Linked DNA regions of Drosophila melanogaster. The protein of the gene in region 2 interacts with the protein of the main gene of each other region in a pairwise test. Each region holds a gene or a part of one and is shown on either strand. Other genes may lie near its edges.

Region 1 (8,804 bases), on a different chromosome or scaffold from region 2:
TCAGAGCGATCTGCTGGCGAAAGGCGATCAAATCCTGCTCGTACTTCGCCACCAGGCACTGAAAGTACTGGAACGGAGCATTGTTCTCGAACTGCAGGCCGGCTGGGGTGTCCTGCGTGCGTTGGGCCATCTCCAGAGATTGAATCGCCTTGACGGTCTCTTGGCGCATCAGGCGGATCTGCTGATTGCTGCCCTCAACTAAAGTGGCCATATTCTGCAGCGCCCATTTCAAGTTCGTGATCTCGTGGCTGACATTCGTGAATTTGGAGGTGGATGTCCGTCCAATGTCAGAGGAGATGGTCTTCTGCTGTTTGATATACGCTTTTAGGCCATCCACCGTTTTTATTATCTCGTCGGGCACTTGGGTTTCCTTAATCTGGAGTGGTCGAAAATAAAATGATTATTTTGTTTCTCTGTGAAAGACTCATGGTCAGCACCTTGATGCCATCTTGCTTATTGTCCCCCAGCTTTGGTTGCGTGGCGGTCACATCGATCCCCCCCAGACCCACGAAAGTCGATGCTGCCGGGGCAGCTGCCTGACCCGCTGGCTTGCTAAAGATTCCTCCTCCTCCTAGGGTTGTCGTCGCATTGGTGGTTCCCAGTTTCAGACCCGTGTTGAAGGGTTGTGCCGTCGCCGTCGTCGTGGTTGTGTTAAAGTTCAAGCTGGCCGCCGTGGTGGCCTGTGGCTTGGGGAAGGAAAACGATCCAATTCCGGAGCTGAGGGATGCTGGCATCGCAGCTGCCGCCGTTGTGGCGGTGGTGCCGAATCCAAAGGCCGGCGGCGCGGTGGTCGGCGCACTTGTGGCCGGGGTGGCAAAGGAGAAAGTGGGAGCCACAGTGCCCACGGCTGGTGCAGGTGCTCCGAAGGCCGATGCTTGCGTGGAAGCTGGCGCTCCAAACGCCGTTGTGGCTGCTGGTGCTCCAAAGGCGGATGTAGCGGCGGGTGCTCCAAAAGCGGGCGTGGCGGCGGGTGCTCCGAAAGCGGGAGTGGCAGCTGCAGCTCCAAAAGCGGGCGTAGCAGCTGGAGCTCCAAAAGCCGACGTTGCTGCTGGTATGCCAAAAGCGGGCGTGGCAGCAGCCGTTCCAAAAGCCGGCGCCGCAGTGGAAGTGGCGCCAAAACCAGGCGTGGACGCAGGTGCTCCAAAAGCCGGCGTAGCAGCTGGTGCCCCAAAGGCCGGTGTGGCCGCGGGAGCTGCAAACAAGGAGGTGGTGGCCGGAGCAGCACCGAAGGTTGGCGTAGAGGTGGCTGCTCCAAAGGATGGAGGCGGAGCAGTCGTCGTCGCCGGTCGCGCGCCAAAAGCAAAAGCGCCGGTAGCAGCAGTGGCGCCTCCAATGGCGTTGTTCGTGGTGGGCGTAAACATCTTTAGGCACCCCTCTTAAGGATTTATACAGGAATTTTAAACAATTAAACTATATTTACTGCAACAAATTTCGAAATTAATTTTGTTTAATGCCTGAGCATCTGTGGTTTAACTTCTAGGACAGAGATGACACTATCGGTGATATCGATAGCTAGTCAGCAGAGATTTATTCGGAAAAATATCAACAAAGTATTCAAATTGATTGAAATAAATACACTATGGCTAAAGATATATAAAGTATTTGCAGCTTCATATAGTTACGATTTGTGATTTTCAAATATTTAATTTTGGTCTGAGGTGTGGTGAGTTCGGTCCACTACAACATGGTTGTTATTTAATATCAAACGATAGCCTTCAGATATTAATATGAATAAATTATTTCAAAATTTAATCTTTATGTATTTCAATTTTAAAATAATATAAAGAATTTTTTACGAACTAATTTCTTACAATAGCTTTAAATACAGCCGGAACTATTACAGTGCGAAGCAGATTAAACGCTGCATTTAAATTAAAATGAATTAAAGTTTACAAAATTATAAAAGAAAAATATTCATGATGGGAATAAATGAGAAAGTTAATGCTTACAAAAACGTCAAATTATTTAATACTTCTGGCCAATACAATACCAAACAATAATATACAACTAAGCTAATCGATATGCAATCGACCGAGCCATCTCCAAGAGTTTCGCAGCACCCAGCTTTCCGGCACACTGCTTACCCACACCAACTAGCCACCGTGGTGAGTTTGCGTGTGTGTGACTTCGTCATATGACATTTTTCACAGTTCGTCGTCGATTGTGATTCTGTCGCACTTGCTTTTTTCGACTTGCACAGTATACACCACGGCGAGGAATTAGAGAAGTTTGGAAATTATGGCCAGCCAGACGCAGGGAATCCAGCAGTTGCTCGCTGCCGAGAAAAAGGCAGCCGAGAAGGTCGCCGAGGCTCGTAAACGTAAGTTTCATTTTCAGAAACAAAAATCCAATTGGAAATGGCAGGGCGACAAGTAACTGCGATTTTTTCACCACCCCGCCCCCGTGCTACCATAACCACCATCACCGTTGTGTGTGGGTCACATGATGTGGTGGAAAAAAGTAAATACAAGTCAATCCTCCATAACTCGAGATATAAATCAAATTAAACTAAATTAAATTAAATTAAATTAAATTAAAATTGTTTGTGGCCACTAAGACTGCAACTTAAGTGCAGTAAATAGTTTTTGTGCGAGTTGGCACTTTAAGTTATGGAAGGTCATCTTGCGGAGGGCTGATTTGCCAAGTTGAACTGATATGATCATCTGGATTTCTGGGTAATCCCGCAGGCAAGGCAAGGAGGTTGAAGCAAGCCAAGGACGAGGCTACCGAGGAGATCGAGAAGTTCCGCCAGGAGCGCGAGCGCGCCTTCAAGGAGTTCGAGGCCAAGGTAAGACGCCACATAGGGAAACTTATGTACATGTAATACCGTGTGAACCCCGATTACAGCACATGGGCAGTCGCGAGGGCGTGGCGGCCAAGATCGATGCGGATATCCGCGTTAAGCTGGCCGACATGGACCGGGCCATCCAGACCCGCAAGGACCCGTTCATCCTGGAGATCCTGCAGTACGTGTACAACATCTCGCCCGAGGTGCACAAAAACTACAACCACAAGTAAAGAGGTGGCCCCCCAAACTGTGCGCTGTAAATTCAATGTCCACGTTCAACTCTAATCCATAATTTAGACCCGTAATAATAGTGGTTAATCTAACTGGAAACACTGCTGTATTATTATTCCATACATTAAAGTGAAAATTCGTTGTTGTTCCATGTAGAAAAAAGCGAGCATATTAGTTTGCCTCCCACTCGCGCGGGATTGTATTATCATTGTTTTGTGTTCTGCCCAATACACGTTGTTGTTTTATCCGAAAAGTCATGTGTTTCAATTGTTTTCCTCACTTTCTTCCTGCTCGCATTTTTCATATCTGCACTGCAGTCAGCTGCTGCGTGATAAGATTTTTGCGGCGAGTTCATTTCATCGGTGCTCAACACTGGCGATGGCGATAGTCACGCCTCTGGGTGCTTAAAAAATTCAATTTTAAGATTAATCCGCTTAATTATATAGTGTATAGACTCGGCATAAAATAAAATGTACAATGTAAAGCAATTTTATGTTTTCTCTTTTAATGGATTGTTGTCTCAGGCAATCGTCTAACAACCAAATGGTTTCCCTAAGTAGTACGATTGACATATGCTTGGAAATTGATTACCGTTGTACTCTAACCAACACAATACGACAAAAATATAATTTGATAACATTATATTCCAGTTCCGCAGATAATTACGAACTCATTGAATCTGTCCAACTTTGAGTTGTTATCAAGCTTACCACTTTTAAGCTGCGCGCTCAGTTATCGATATATTATCGAGAACCGACTGGCACTTGCCCACCATCTGAGCACTTTGTTAGTTTGTTACAGAACATTGGTAGAAACGGTTTTTCGCTCTGTTGTCGCTCGCTAAATCAGCGAAAATTAATTCATTCATAATTATAAAATAATAAATGAGTGTAAAGTGCAATAGGAGGGTGTGATATTAGTAGTACTAGTTTAATGAACGGCAAAGATGAAAGTTGATTGCTAAATTTCTGGCCACCAACGCACACAGATGCAGATGCCTTGTGAAAGCACCGCAGAAGAGGAAGAGCGAAAAAGAAGAGAGAATGCGATTTAGCGAAACTGACTAAATTTAGGAATTTCTCAGAAACAAGATGCTAAATTTAGGCAGTGCCAAAGTTGGCGCTCTGGAGGAGGCCACCTCACCACCCCCCTTCTCCAAGGACGAGAGCTTCCAGCTGTTGGAGCGGAGCCCCCACAATCCCGCCATATCACCCACCACCACTGTCCCGCTGGAGCCCCCCTTCACCACCCCCCTAGCTCCCTTCGACATGGAGCTGATGAAGCGCCACAATCTCCACGAGCGCTTAACGGGAAAGGAGAGCTTCTGGCGCGGGCGCGACACTTCGCAGAGATTTCTGGACCAGGAGCAATTATCAGCATCGCGTGAATCACTCGGTGCCGCCGACAAGAGAGCCCGGTTTGCAGAAAGGTTAGTAAGCCCACTTTTATTCTTTATTCACTTTATTCCAAATTCAGACCATTTTGGGCCGAGGAAGTAACCATTAAAGTTAATTGCAGCCGACTGCTTTTGTTGTCAGTTTTCTGTAATTGAGTTTTTACTTGTGCGGAATACAGGGTGTCTAGCAATTTAACTGATAGTTACCAATAAATCCAGCTATATATTTAAATAATTAATTCATAGACATTTTAAGATCATAAGCTTAAAATCATAGAAACAGAAAAAAAGTACCCAATGTTTAAGCACCCTGTATATCTTATCTTTCATTAAGGTAGAGCAATAGCTGAAAAAGTACATTTGCCTAAACAACACATGAAGTGCGATTCTTTGTACATATACTCCAAATATTTGGTTTGATTGTTCACATCTGTCTTAAATCTGCTGAGCAATCATTTCAGTTGTTTAGTGACTCACGATTGTTAGGAGGTGAGTCCCAACAGACCATTTAATATTCAATTGCAACTATTATTGTTGCAATCGAGCTAATATGATTTCTCAGTCTGTACTTGGCATCGTTCCAATTTCTTATCATACACAGCGAAAAGAGACTTTCCCAGCGGGAAATTGGAAATAAACGCTCTGCTCTCGTTTAATTAGACAAAAAGATACCGATTATCTTTTATTTACGCTTAAACTCGCATATGTGTGTGTAGGTGTAATGCACTTGACATCCGAATGATCAATTGGAAAAACATGTGCTCAAAACTCTCTCGAGAGTAAAACAGCTGACTGGGGGGATGTATATAACGGTGCTGTTGGTAGCTGCGGGGGGACGGGGGCCACCGGCAAAAAAACCCAGCTGGTTTGCCTCTCATTTCTCAGTTTGTTGTCTTCGCTGCTGCGCGTTGGTTGTCGTCTCTCAGTTCGCTCCAAACAAATTCGTCGGTTGCCATGGCTAACATTTGTAGACTTTAATTCAGTGTTTATTAATTATCTGCTCGGACAAGAGGTGAAAATTTCCATCATAAGTTTTTCCGCGATAATTGCGATTAGGTTCTGTAAACTTTGTAAACCGAAACGAGCCGATCACCTTTCAAGGAAACGGGTTTTTCTGCCATTATTCCGTGTGTATTGTAGCATTAATCATCGTTTCGAAAAAGCAAAAGACAATATTTTCTTTATGTGTGTCGCGTATCTCGCATCGTTTTTTGAGCACCTCAAGTATTGCGATCTTGTGGGATGAATAAGCCTTCGATGTACATATACATATAATGCCTATTTGATCGGTGGCATTTTAGCAGGAACATCTAAATTATATAAGTGATTTTAGCAGCCAATGCAAAAATATATCAGAAAACAAACGCAACACATGTTTCATAAATTAATGTCTCTCTCACTCTCTTGGCCTTGATTAAACCAAATGCCGAAAATTTAAAACGTGTGGGCCTACAAAGCAAACAGCCATTATATGTAAATTTTAATTATGTTTTTGATGAAAGAAGCTGAAGATAATTTCGAGTTGTGCGAAGGCCAAAGAAGTGTAAAAATGCTTAATGAACCAAACGAACAATAATACAAAAAAAAACGTAGCAACAAAAGAGGGGAATAACAAGATTTATGATTAGAAGTTAATCATAAGGGGGGGGGGGGGTTAAGTTAACGTTTCCCCTATCTATAAGTTGAGTTTCAATATTACTATATACTAACATAGATAGCTTGCTTACAATATTTTAGCATTATCCATAGAATTGGCAAGCATATTTAAAGAGGAAAATACGATTGTAATGCTGCTGATAACAAAATTAACTTCATAAGTTCAAATCCAGACTGTATGCTTGATTGCTTATCAGTTGAATAAATTATTCTTTCATTACTTTTACTCATTTGCTCTGTGCACTTTTAATGAAACCCGACAGAGGAGATTGCTCGGCCCTATTGCACTTTGAAGCTTTAAGTATTCTACATCGATTAAAGGCTGTGAATCATTAGATATTTCTCATCTAGATCACATCACATGAAGCTGCTTTTTAGCAAACAAATACCAAATGTTTGTATGTAATGAGAGAAGTGTTTGTTAAAGTTTCTAGATGATTTTCAACTTAAGGCTAAATTGAACTAAAGATAAACCGAGCATATGCTGAGATTTCTTCGTTCCTACACTTAATTACTTGGATTAACGGAGCAAACGTTAACTGAGGTCATCTTGTGCGTTTCCTTCCCGTCGCAAAGAGGTATTATTTATCGTTAAATTCCCGTGGCTTTGGCTCTCCCAGGAGGTGACCTATATATGTTATTGGTGTTTTAATGGGATGTGCGTCCCATTAGGACCTTTCCGCACGACAGGCGTCGCCAGTCGGGAATTAAACGTGTTTTGCTCCCGTTTACTCGCTTCAAATTGTATCACATTAAGTTTTCCGCCTGAAAGCATTTCGAGTTAGTCGTGACTTGCGATTATTTCATATTTCTAGTTTAAGGAATGGGGGTACCTTGTGAAAACAATAATTTGATACCATTACAACTTGACACATGTTAAGAAGGTTCATAGAATAGGTTTATTTACTTTACATTATACTAAAAAGTATCTTTACTATACCTAAATATCGCTTAAGTATGTCTGCGATGTGTTTCAGCCGAAAGTTTATCTACCTAGCTAAATACGATAATTAACCTTATCTGCCACTGTCTATCGTATAGCAACGCCCCCACGCTCCAACTGCCAGAATCTGCCGAGCCCAGGGCCAATGGCAAAAGACCCACTGGGAACAGGACCAACCCATCGAATCCAGCCGCTCCCCTTCTGCCAATGACTGATCCGGATTTTGTGAAGGGCAATGTAGGCGGCGTCTACGATGATCGCGAGTGCAGCTGCCCCAGGGAGTTCTACCAGCGGGGCGAGATTAACACATCACTGTTCTTTGAGGACTGCGTCCGGTCCATTGACTTTGTCCTGGCCTACAGGATCAATGCGCACGAGCCCACGGAGCTGGAGAACACGGAAAAGCGTCGTGTTTTCGAGGCGAATCTCATTAGTCAGGGGCTGGAGGTCGAGTCCAGTCAGAAGGACCAGATCTGGTTCGTTAAGGTAAGTTTGCAGTGCTTAATCAACTTGTATAGTGTTTTCATATATATTGATTTTAGATCCACGCTCCTTTGGAGGTCCTGCGACGGTATGCGGAAATTCTTAAGCTGCGCATGCCCATGAAGGAGGTAAGTAAACATACTTTTAAATGCTAAGCTAAAGCCAAAATTATAGCATTCTTTTAGGCCTTATTCAAAAATTAAAAGTTCCCGAAAATGTAATTTATTCATTTATGATTTAATTTTAATTTAAATCATTTTATATTTTGTATGTTTTAGTCGTTATGCAATTTACGCATATCTGAAAGATCGAATCGCCTACGAAATGCGGCCCATTACTTGACCAATAAGGTTGGCCAAAGCGTTGAAGTTAAACCAGTTAAATATTTTATTATTAATCCCCTAAAAATAATCTTAGATTATCATATTTCGTTTAGCTTCCGCTGTGAGTTGTTTGAAATCGAACTAAAATACCCAGCCTAACCTTGATAGATTTTGTATAAAGAAAATGTAACTTAGAACAAGCCAGCTTGAATGTTAACACAAAATTATTAAAATTAGTTTCTAAATACCATTTACACTTGAACTTTCAATGCCTTTAGATTCCAGGAATGTCCGTGGTCAATCGATCGACCAAAAGCGTGTTTTCTAGTCTTAAACATGTTTTCCAATTCTTTCTGCGCAACATTTATGTGGACGAGGAAATTTTTCCAAAGCGAGCTCATCGATTCACTGCCATTTACAGTCGCGATAAGGAGTATCTGTGAGTTCAAAATAATTTCTATATAAAAATTATCGTGCCTATTTACTTATTAATTTTCTTATCGGCCGGTAGCTTTGACATCCGACAGGATTGTTTCTTTACCACCGCCGTCCGTTCCCGCATCGTTGAGTTCATCCTAGATCGCCAGCGATTTCCTGCCAAGAATCAACATGACATGGCCTTCGGTATTGAGCGACTGATTGCCGAGGGTGTCTACTCTGCTGCCTATCCACTCCATGATGTAATTGATTGACTCTATGCTAAATTGTTCAACTAAACTATGTATTTATCACAGGGTGAAATAACCGAGACGGGAACCATGAGAGCTCTGCTGTACAAACATTGGGCCTCTGTGCCCAAATGGTATCGCTATCAGCCCTTGGATGACATCAAGGAATACTTCGGTGTCAAAATTGGTGAGATCATATAATAGAAAATTAAATAATATTTTCTAACGTATAAATATCAATTTTAGGCTTGTACTTCGCCTGGCTGGGCTACTACACCTACATGTTGCTGCTGGCCTCAATAGTGGGTGTCATTTG
Region 2 (7,580 bases):
CATTAAATCGCTATTTAATCACAAGTGCAAATGAACAGCATATTGGCCTCCAGACTTTTGTAGGCTCAAAGTTCTCCAAACATGTTCTAGTTGATGAAGAAGAGGGGGAGGAGGAGGAGGAGGATTCCGCCGAGTCTGGTTCCACATCGTCGTTCAGTTTGCAGGAGTGCATCGACGAGTTTAGGGCACGCCGCATTCGCCGTGTGTCCACTCAAAGTCGCGACTGCGAGACCAACAATAACCACATCAACATGTCCCGACAACTTCCCCGAGTCCGCAGAACCACGGATGCGGACCTAATCAACCAGAATCGCTGCAACAAGGAGCAGGAGCGCAAGGGGAAGCCGTGCCAGAACGGCTTCTGCTACTGCTTCACCAGCGACAGCGGAGACTGCGGCTCCACGGCACCGCCACGTGACCAGCACGTGCGACTACCAAGGCGCAGCAGGCGATCTGAGAGCGCCAAGGTAAGCCACTAACCAGCCCGCTACAGTTCCCTCATTAAACTCACATTTTACAGCCCGCCAAGCAGAACAATCTCGGTAGCCAGCGGCAGCAGGCGGAGAAACTTCGTCGAAGCGAGCCGGCCAGCATAAATTCTGGCTTGAAAACTCCCTTAACTGCTGTCAGTCGCTTGAGAGCCGTGGCCGGCGAGGATGAACCGCTTATACACATCATCCAGGAGCTGCACGACAACTGTGTGGTGTCCGAAGTGCGCGTGAACCGCCACAAACTGTCAGATTCTAGCTCCAGGTGCCGGCACAGGAGCACACAGAGAGAGCCTACTAAAATGCTTTCCTATGAGCCCATAGCCTATAAGCCCTCAGCTCCTGTTTTGTCTAACATCAGCGAACAGGAATCCGCTGTGGAGGAAGATCAGGAGAAAGAAGAGCTGGCCACCGAGCCGCCAAGTCGCAGGAGTTCCCGCTCTCGACGCAGTTCCGGAGCAGGTGGACGCCTGCTGCAGAAGCGCCTCTCGCAGGGTCAAGTCAGCTTCAAGGCACGGAACTCGCAGCTGCCGCCTCCGAAGCCGCCGCGTCGCAGCTCCCAAAGTCTGGACGGGAAGCTATCGCAATCCTCGCTCACCTCCACGAATCCTTCGGTGCGGGAGGCCGAGCGAGTGCTGGACGAGTTTCTGCGCAAACGTGGCGTTCAGGTGCCTACGAGCAAGCTGGAACCATCGCTCAAAAAAGACAGCAAGCGCAGATCGTTCCCCATGGGTAAGTTATACCCGTAAGCCCTAGAAAATGAAACCGTAACCAAATAGAAACTATTTTTACCAAAAATCAAATGTATTTACCAAATAAAGTGTTTTGTATCCAAACATTTGGCTTACGGTTTCATTAATTGGTTCCTTGGTTTTCGATGTTTTTACGAGCTTTGCGTCTTTCTTTAGCTGAGGTAGAGAAGCCCAGGCATCCCAGGAGCAACAAGCAACTGCCCACCTGCCCCTCGCTCAGTGACATTGAGCGCGTAGTGGAATCCAAGCGGGGCTCAAATTACGACCGGAATATTCGGCAGGAGAGTAGGCGGAAAGGAGCGCCCACCAAGGAGGTTATTCTTGGCTGGACAGAGCCCAAGATCACCGATATGCTCAACTACGAGGGCAAGACAGCCAGCGAGTTTAGGACACCGGCGGAACCGCAAGTAGCCATTGGATGGCAAATGCCTAAAGCACAGCCACAGCCCGTAGTGCCAAAGGTTTCCTTGGACACTGTTGACGGAAGTGTTTCCGAGAACCTGGCATCAAATATGGTGCACAAGGAGACGCCCATCAAGTATCCCAGTCGAGTTAACACGGCAGGAGGTCAGGCTAGCCAGAAGTTCATCTGGAGCGAGCAGTGGCGCAATCTATCTCCTTGGAAGGGTAACAAACCGAAGAACCTTGGAAAGAAGTCCAAGAACTTTCTGAACAACTCCAAAAAGAAGATCCTGCGCTTCGTCTCGCCGAAGAAGTCTAATCAGGAGGTGCACACGCAGCTGGATCAGCACAGATTCACTCCCCAGCAGTGCACCATTGGCGTACAGACATCTACCTCGCAGCTGGACCTGCAGTCACAGTCTCCGCCGGGAAGCTACCACTCCCCCATGCAGACCACGCCCTCGGGTACGACCACATCCACCCGCCAACAGCTGGACACAGAGCAGCCGTACTTCGATTTCGAACGCAAGGTGAAGGCACCGACGCCTCCGAAGAAGCTGCCCCGTGCAAACAGAGCCCGCAAGCTGGACTTTCAAGCAGCAGCAACATCACCCACCACCTATCGCTCGTATCACAAGGATCTCGACCAGGACGTCACCATCACTAAAATGGGCTATCTGCTCAGCAGCATCAGGGCCAAGCTGGAGGCTAGCGATGAGCACGCAGTTAGAACCTTTCAGGTGAGTCCCTTCCCTTAATCTTTTACTTTATAATAAGTGGGCATGTTCATTTCGTACCTTTATTGATGAGTCCAAGAAAGCATGAAGAGATTAAATACTAGACAACGGTGAATACTGCACCCAAGGCGTAGTGATCCGACCCCAGACGGTAATTGGGGATCTGTCCCGCCCCGATGCACCGGTTGATTGAGGGCAGTGAGTAGACGCTGAGAGGCAAGAGCTTGTGCCTGCTCCGCGATCCTAGCGAGCGCAGGATGTAGTCCACGATAACCCATTCGTTCTGGTATGTGGAGGCAGTACCTTCGCCCGAATCGATGATCTCGAAATGCAGGGGTTCTGGGCAAGCTGTGGAATCCACATCCCCATTCTTGCCAACGAGGAATTCAATAGGCGAGGAGTCGGGCAGACTGTTAAAGTCACCAGTCAGGACGATAGGTGTGTCGGTGGAGAACGACTGCAGCTCCTCCAAAATTCTTTCCACCTGGGCGCAACGGACATCGCTCCGTTTCGTGTTGAACAGCAAGTGCGTGGTGGCGACCACGAATTCCTTCTGCTGCTCCTGCTGCTTTTTGAATCGGAACCTGGCAAACAAGGCCACATTGTCGCGATTGAGTAGAGCCACCGCCTGGTCGTACAGCTCCACTGCTTGGTGGTCTAGCAACTCAAACTTTGAGGAGTCGTAGACAATAGCGCATCCGTCCGTTCGACAGCCGGTCTTCTTTTTGTACACATAAGCCAACTTCTTGCCGTTGCCCATACGCAGTCGTTGGACGAGCACTGGAAGGTGGTCGAACTGCATCTCCTGCAGGCACAGTATGTCCGGATCCAGTTTGAGCAGTTCCCTGAGAAGGTTCTGCTGGCGGCGTTGCCAGCTGAGGAACTCATGCGGGATTCCCACGTACAGGAAGAGGTGCTCCAGAAGCAGATCCTGGGCCAGGATGTTATATGAGACAACCTTGAAGGAGGAGCACTTGTGCGGGTCTCGACCCTCAGCCTGATTCCCCAATGACGTCCAGCGTCTATTCCGATCGTGGCTCGACTCCATCTCCTTCGCTTTTTGTTTGCGCTTTCCGCTGGCTCCTTTTGCCTGGCTGCTCACGCTGCGCCTGATAATCCTTGATGTCGCCTTGAGTGAAACGTTGTGCAGCAGAGACCTGTACATCTCACCAGGTGCGCCTCCCCATAAGCCCGAGCTCCTGGTCCCCTTGAAAGCCTCTTGTTTCTTTAGTGTTTTTGGATGGCGTCTGAATTTCCGAGTGGAGGAAAGAAATCTGCTGCTGTCAGCTGTTTTCACTTCTTGTTTTGCGCCTTCCTTCGCTGGGCTGCATTGCAGCTGATATCGATAACGGGGCGGTACTCGGTCTATCGAAATTTAAAAAAGTGTATCTCGAAGTAGCATTGCAAGATTCGTTCTTACTAACTTTCTGGTCAAATAGATTTAGTTAATCATTGGTTTATTGATCCAAGTAATAAGGCTCTTCTTTTATAAATATATCGTTAATATGGTTTGTATTTCAATAATAAGAGTATAATTTCAATCGATTGCAGGACTGCTCCCGCTTTGACCGCCATGAGCCTCAGATCAGCCATCTTCAAACCGAGAGCTACGACTGCACAGACGGACCCAGCAGTGGTGCAACCACATCGTTGGCCACCACACGGCAACAGCGCGATTTCGACAGCGAGCCCATTTACTCGGAGATTGAGGAAGACTGCCTGCGGATTAGAGGGAGTCCCCACCACGAGGTTAGGACCGCGGCACAGATTATAGACCACACGCCGACTCCTACGGAAAGCTCCACCGCGTATGTGAGTGGGTCTGTGCCTGCTCCGTCGACCTCGCGCGATGACATCAGTGCCATGTACGCCAGGGTGCAAAAGACGCCGAAGAACTCACCGCAAATGAAGCCAGTGGATAAGCCTCAGATTAGTTTCCAAGCTATTCAGCCACAGAAAAGTACTCATTCCTTTTCGCCGCCTATAACAACACATATTGTTCTTGATCAGGCGGTACAACCTAAAAGCTGCACCCAGTCGAATCCAGCGCAGCTAAGCACCCAGATGGTTTCACCACAATCAACTGCTCCTCAGCAGCCTGTAGCTTTGGGTCACTTTCTCCACGAATCCCTGAAGAACGGCAACTTCTTCCAGTTCATGCCTCTGCCCGAGGAGCCGAGTGGAACGGAATCCTCGTGCTCAGCTAGTCAGACCACTGAGTCCTCTGTGATTCGCCAGCCGAAGTTAAAGTTGCCTTCGCCACATGCCCACCAATCCTTGAACAATATCAGTGAGCAGCATTCGCCGCCCAAGCAGAACCGGAATCTTTCTCGTTCAGAACTCTCTCTGCAGCGCAGCGAGATCTTCTTGGACAATCTCTGCCGCAGTGAACTGGTGTTGGATCGCCCAGAAAAGGTGCCCAATGTAAGTGCCATTGCAGTTTTTACAATTTGTCACATTTCTAAGCCAAAGCCCATTACAGAATACTTCCAATATGGATTCCGTTTCGTATGACATGCCCGAGCAGCTCTACGCAGATTACAGTTTGGTTGGAGCGGGCAGCGCCGGCAGCTCCTTCGTGACCAACGATTACGGCTCCGGGCAAATTGAACCTGAGCCGGCCAACCAGAGTACGCCGAAAAAGAAGCAGAGCCAGCGCTTTACAACCAAGGTAGAGATTTTTGTTGACTCCCACTAAAGCTTAAGGCTTCCGCTTGCATCTGATTTCTGACACTGTACATTCTGTAAATAGCCACTACCACACTGTACTCATCCATCGCTTTCTGAAACGCACTTCAAATATAAGATTGTTGTTGAAACTGAGTAATGATTGATCTTTCAGCCCGCTTCCAATTTGACCATAGAAATTAATGATGGCCAAGCCACGTCGCTGCGCCATTTTGGTAACAATCTGAGCATCAGTTGCCCCACAACGCCACAGCAGGCGCAGGCCTCGCAGGCAGTGGATCCCACTGTCCTGCACAACAGCAGCAGTTTGGGTGAGCTGATGCAGACGATGCCCAATCCCAGTGACAGCCAGCTGATGTCAGTCAGCGCTCTCGCTCGCTACCGCCTACTGAAGAATGCCCTTCGTCGTTCGTACCGCAAGGGAAAAGACTTCTTTCTGGCGGAGAAGCAACGCCTGGCTCAGAGCCTCAATCTCTCAAGGGACCAATCGAATCAGACGGATGGGGAGCTGGATAGCAGCACCTACTATGCCAACTTCAACGTGGATTCCTTGCTAAACGATTCCTTGAACCCAAACGAGCAGCTGGCCCAAGCTGTGAGCATATGTCGGCAGATGCCGACATTGGAGATCTCTGCAGAGATGGTGGAGGCGGAGCGACTGTTGCTCTTCTCTACCTTGCGAAAATCGACTCCACCCGTTTGCCAATTGAATGATGAAGCATTGGCTGCACGGAGGAAATCCCAGTGCCTGCTGATCGACGCCATGGAACTGCCAGTGAGGGCGGACGTCAGCCGGGATATGTTCTTCAACTACCACTATATCTGCACCTTTGAGTGCGGAGGACGCATTAGATCCACTCAATCCGTTGAGTGCCAGAATGGCTCCGCCTTCTTTCGAGACTGTGGCTTGGAGTTCTACAGTGGAGAAAATGCGGACTCCTTGGAGCTGCGCTGTCAAATCTTCATGCTCCGCCTGCGCAAAGTTTCCACTCTGGCCTTGGAGCCTGCCAAGTCTCTGGTAAGTAGCTTCAGTTGTCCTCAGAGGCAGTTCGCTAATGAGTTACCTTACAGCGTCGTGGCAGCGGAAACTTAGGTTCCGCCAACTCGAGCTGTTCTGCGGGCTCTGGTGGTGAGCAAATCATGTCGCGCTTTCGCTTACATGCCTCTTTCCATCTGCGAGCTGTGGACCTGTCGCCATTTCAACTGGTGTCCAATGAGTCGAGATCCAGCGACAAAATCTGCCTGCGCAGTTCACGCTCCTGGCAAGTTCCCCTGACCACGCACACCAAATCCACGAATCTGGGACCTGCCATATCTATTACTGGCAGAGTGGACTTACGGCTGCCCAAGACCCGCTTCTCTGGCTACCTAAATGTTCAGGATCCGAAGAGCCAACACAACTGGAATCGCAGATGGTGCAGTCTGGATGGCGTTCGGTTATCGGTTTGGCAACATGAGGATAATCTGGAAAGTGATATCCCGATTTTCACGCTGGAGTTGCCTGGACTCGGACAATCCCTGATAGCTGCAGCCCCCCGGGAGTTGTGTGCTCGGGCGAGAAGTTTTCTGCTGCAAGGAAGGAATTCTGATTGCGAATCGGGGAGAGTCTTCTTTGCTGCCGATACGCAAGCGGAGCTCTCGGAATGGCTAATCCACCTAAATGAGGCTATCGCATTCGCCAGGCACTGGCTGGGCTCCTCTTGACAGCTCGTGCATTGCCAAACAATTTTTATTTTTATATGTGTTAAAGTTTTCTATTTATATTTGGTTATATTTAAATTGTGCTTAGATCTTTCCACTAATTGTATATTGTTTGCCATGCAAACGTGTCGCTCCTTTCAATTTAAGTCTGAAATTAGCAAGAAAGGTATAGATTTACCACTTCCGTTTCATAGCCCTATGTATCATATGTATGAGAGTCAACATTCCCTTCCCTTAGCGGGATATAGTCATTCAAACTGAACCATGTGAAGCATCTGAGTCCCCAGAGTCCTGCTCACTTTTGGCGTTCACGTCACAACAACAACAGTTTATTACGTACATAATTTACATGGGCTACGATAAGTTGATAAGATACAGATACGATTATATATTTGATATAGGTTACAATATGATACACAAGTATGTTATATGCGCTGGTTGCCCCCGGTTATCTGCGAAATCGGTTATCCATGCTCGCGTCCCCACATCCTCACATTCGTGCCTAGTTAGTGCCTACGCGTAACTATTACATTTAAGTATATGTACTATTTAAGCTGCTTTGTAATTTCGTTTTCATTTCGTTTTTGTTTGCTCATTAAAGTGCAAAACATAAGAGTCTGAGGTTATGTTTGTTGTGGTATTGTTTCCAAGCAATTTACATACTTAACTTGTACATTACTTAAGCACTGACTATTCTCTATTGATCTGACAACTGGTCACGTTAAACTGTACTTGGTGTGTGGGCTCTGCTTAGGCTTAGGATCGCTATAATCTGTATTTGATTCGGCTCTGATTGTGGTTCTCTTTCTGTT

The links.
Region 1: the proteins of angel (region 2) and subdued interact in a two-hybrid assay, tested with the Drosophila melanogaster proteins (one large-scale study listed by BioGRID).

Annotation. Positions count from the first base shown.
Region 1 is NT_033777.3:19,637,722-19,646,525, reverse strand, and holds the start of subdued (subdued), read left to right. Parts: upstream 1-3,803; 5' UTR 3,804-4,110; coding exon 4,111-4,448; intron 4,449-5,297; exon of another isoform or gene 5,298-5,427; intron 5,428-5,439; exon of another isoform or gene 5,440-5,542; intron 5,543-7,112; coding exon 7,113-7,500; intron 7,501-7,556; coding exon 7,557-7,625; intron 7,626-7,775; coding exon 7,776-7,847; intron 7,848-8,098; coding exon 8,099-8,259; intron 8,260-8,331; coding exon 8,332-8,500; intron 8,501-8,554; coding exon 8,555-8,675; intron 8,676-8,734; coding exon 8,735-8,804. Other genes in the region: Nup58 (nucleoporin 58kD), read right to left, coding at 1-376, 438-1,361; Vha13 (vacuolar H[+] ATPase 13kD subunit), read left to right, coding at 2,239-2,320, 2,688-2,788, 2,848-3,018.
Region 2 is NT_033778.4:23,690,082-23,697,661, reverse strand, and holds angel (angel), read right to left. Parts: upstream 3,660-7,580; 5' UTR 3,545-3,659; coding exon 2,480-3,544; 3' UTR 2,430-2,479; downstream 1-2,429. Other genes in the region: CG30183 (uncharacterized protein), read left to right, coding at 54-467, 521-1,220, 1,397-2,382, 3,931-4,803, 4,862-5,050, 5,222-6,085, 6,139-6,771.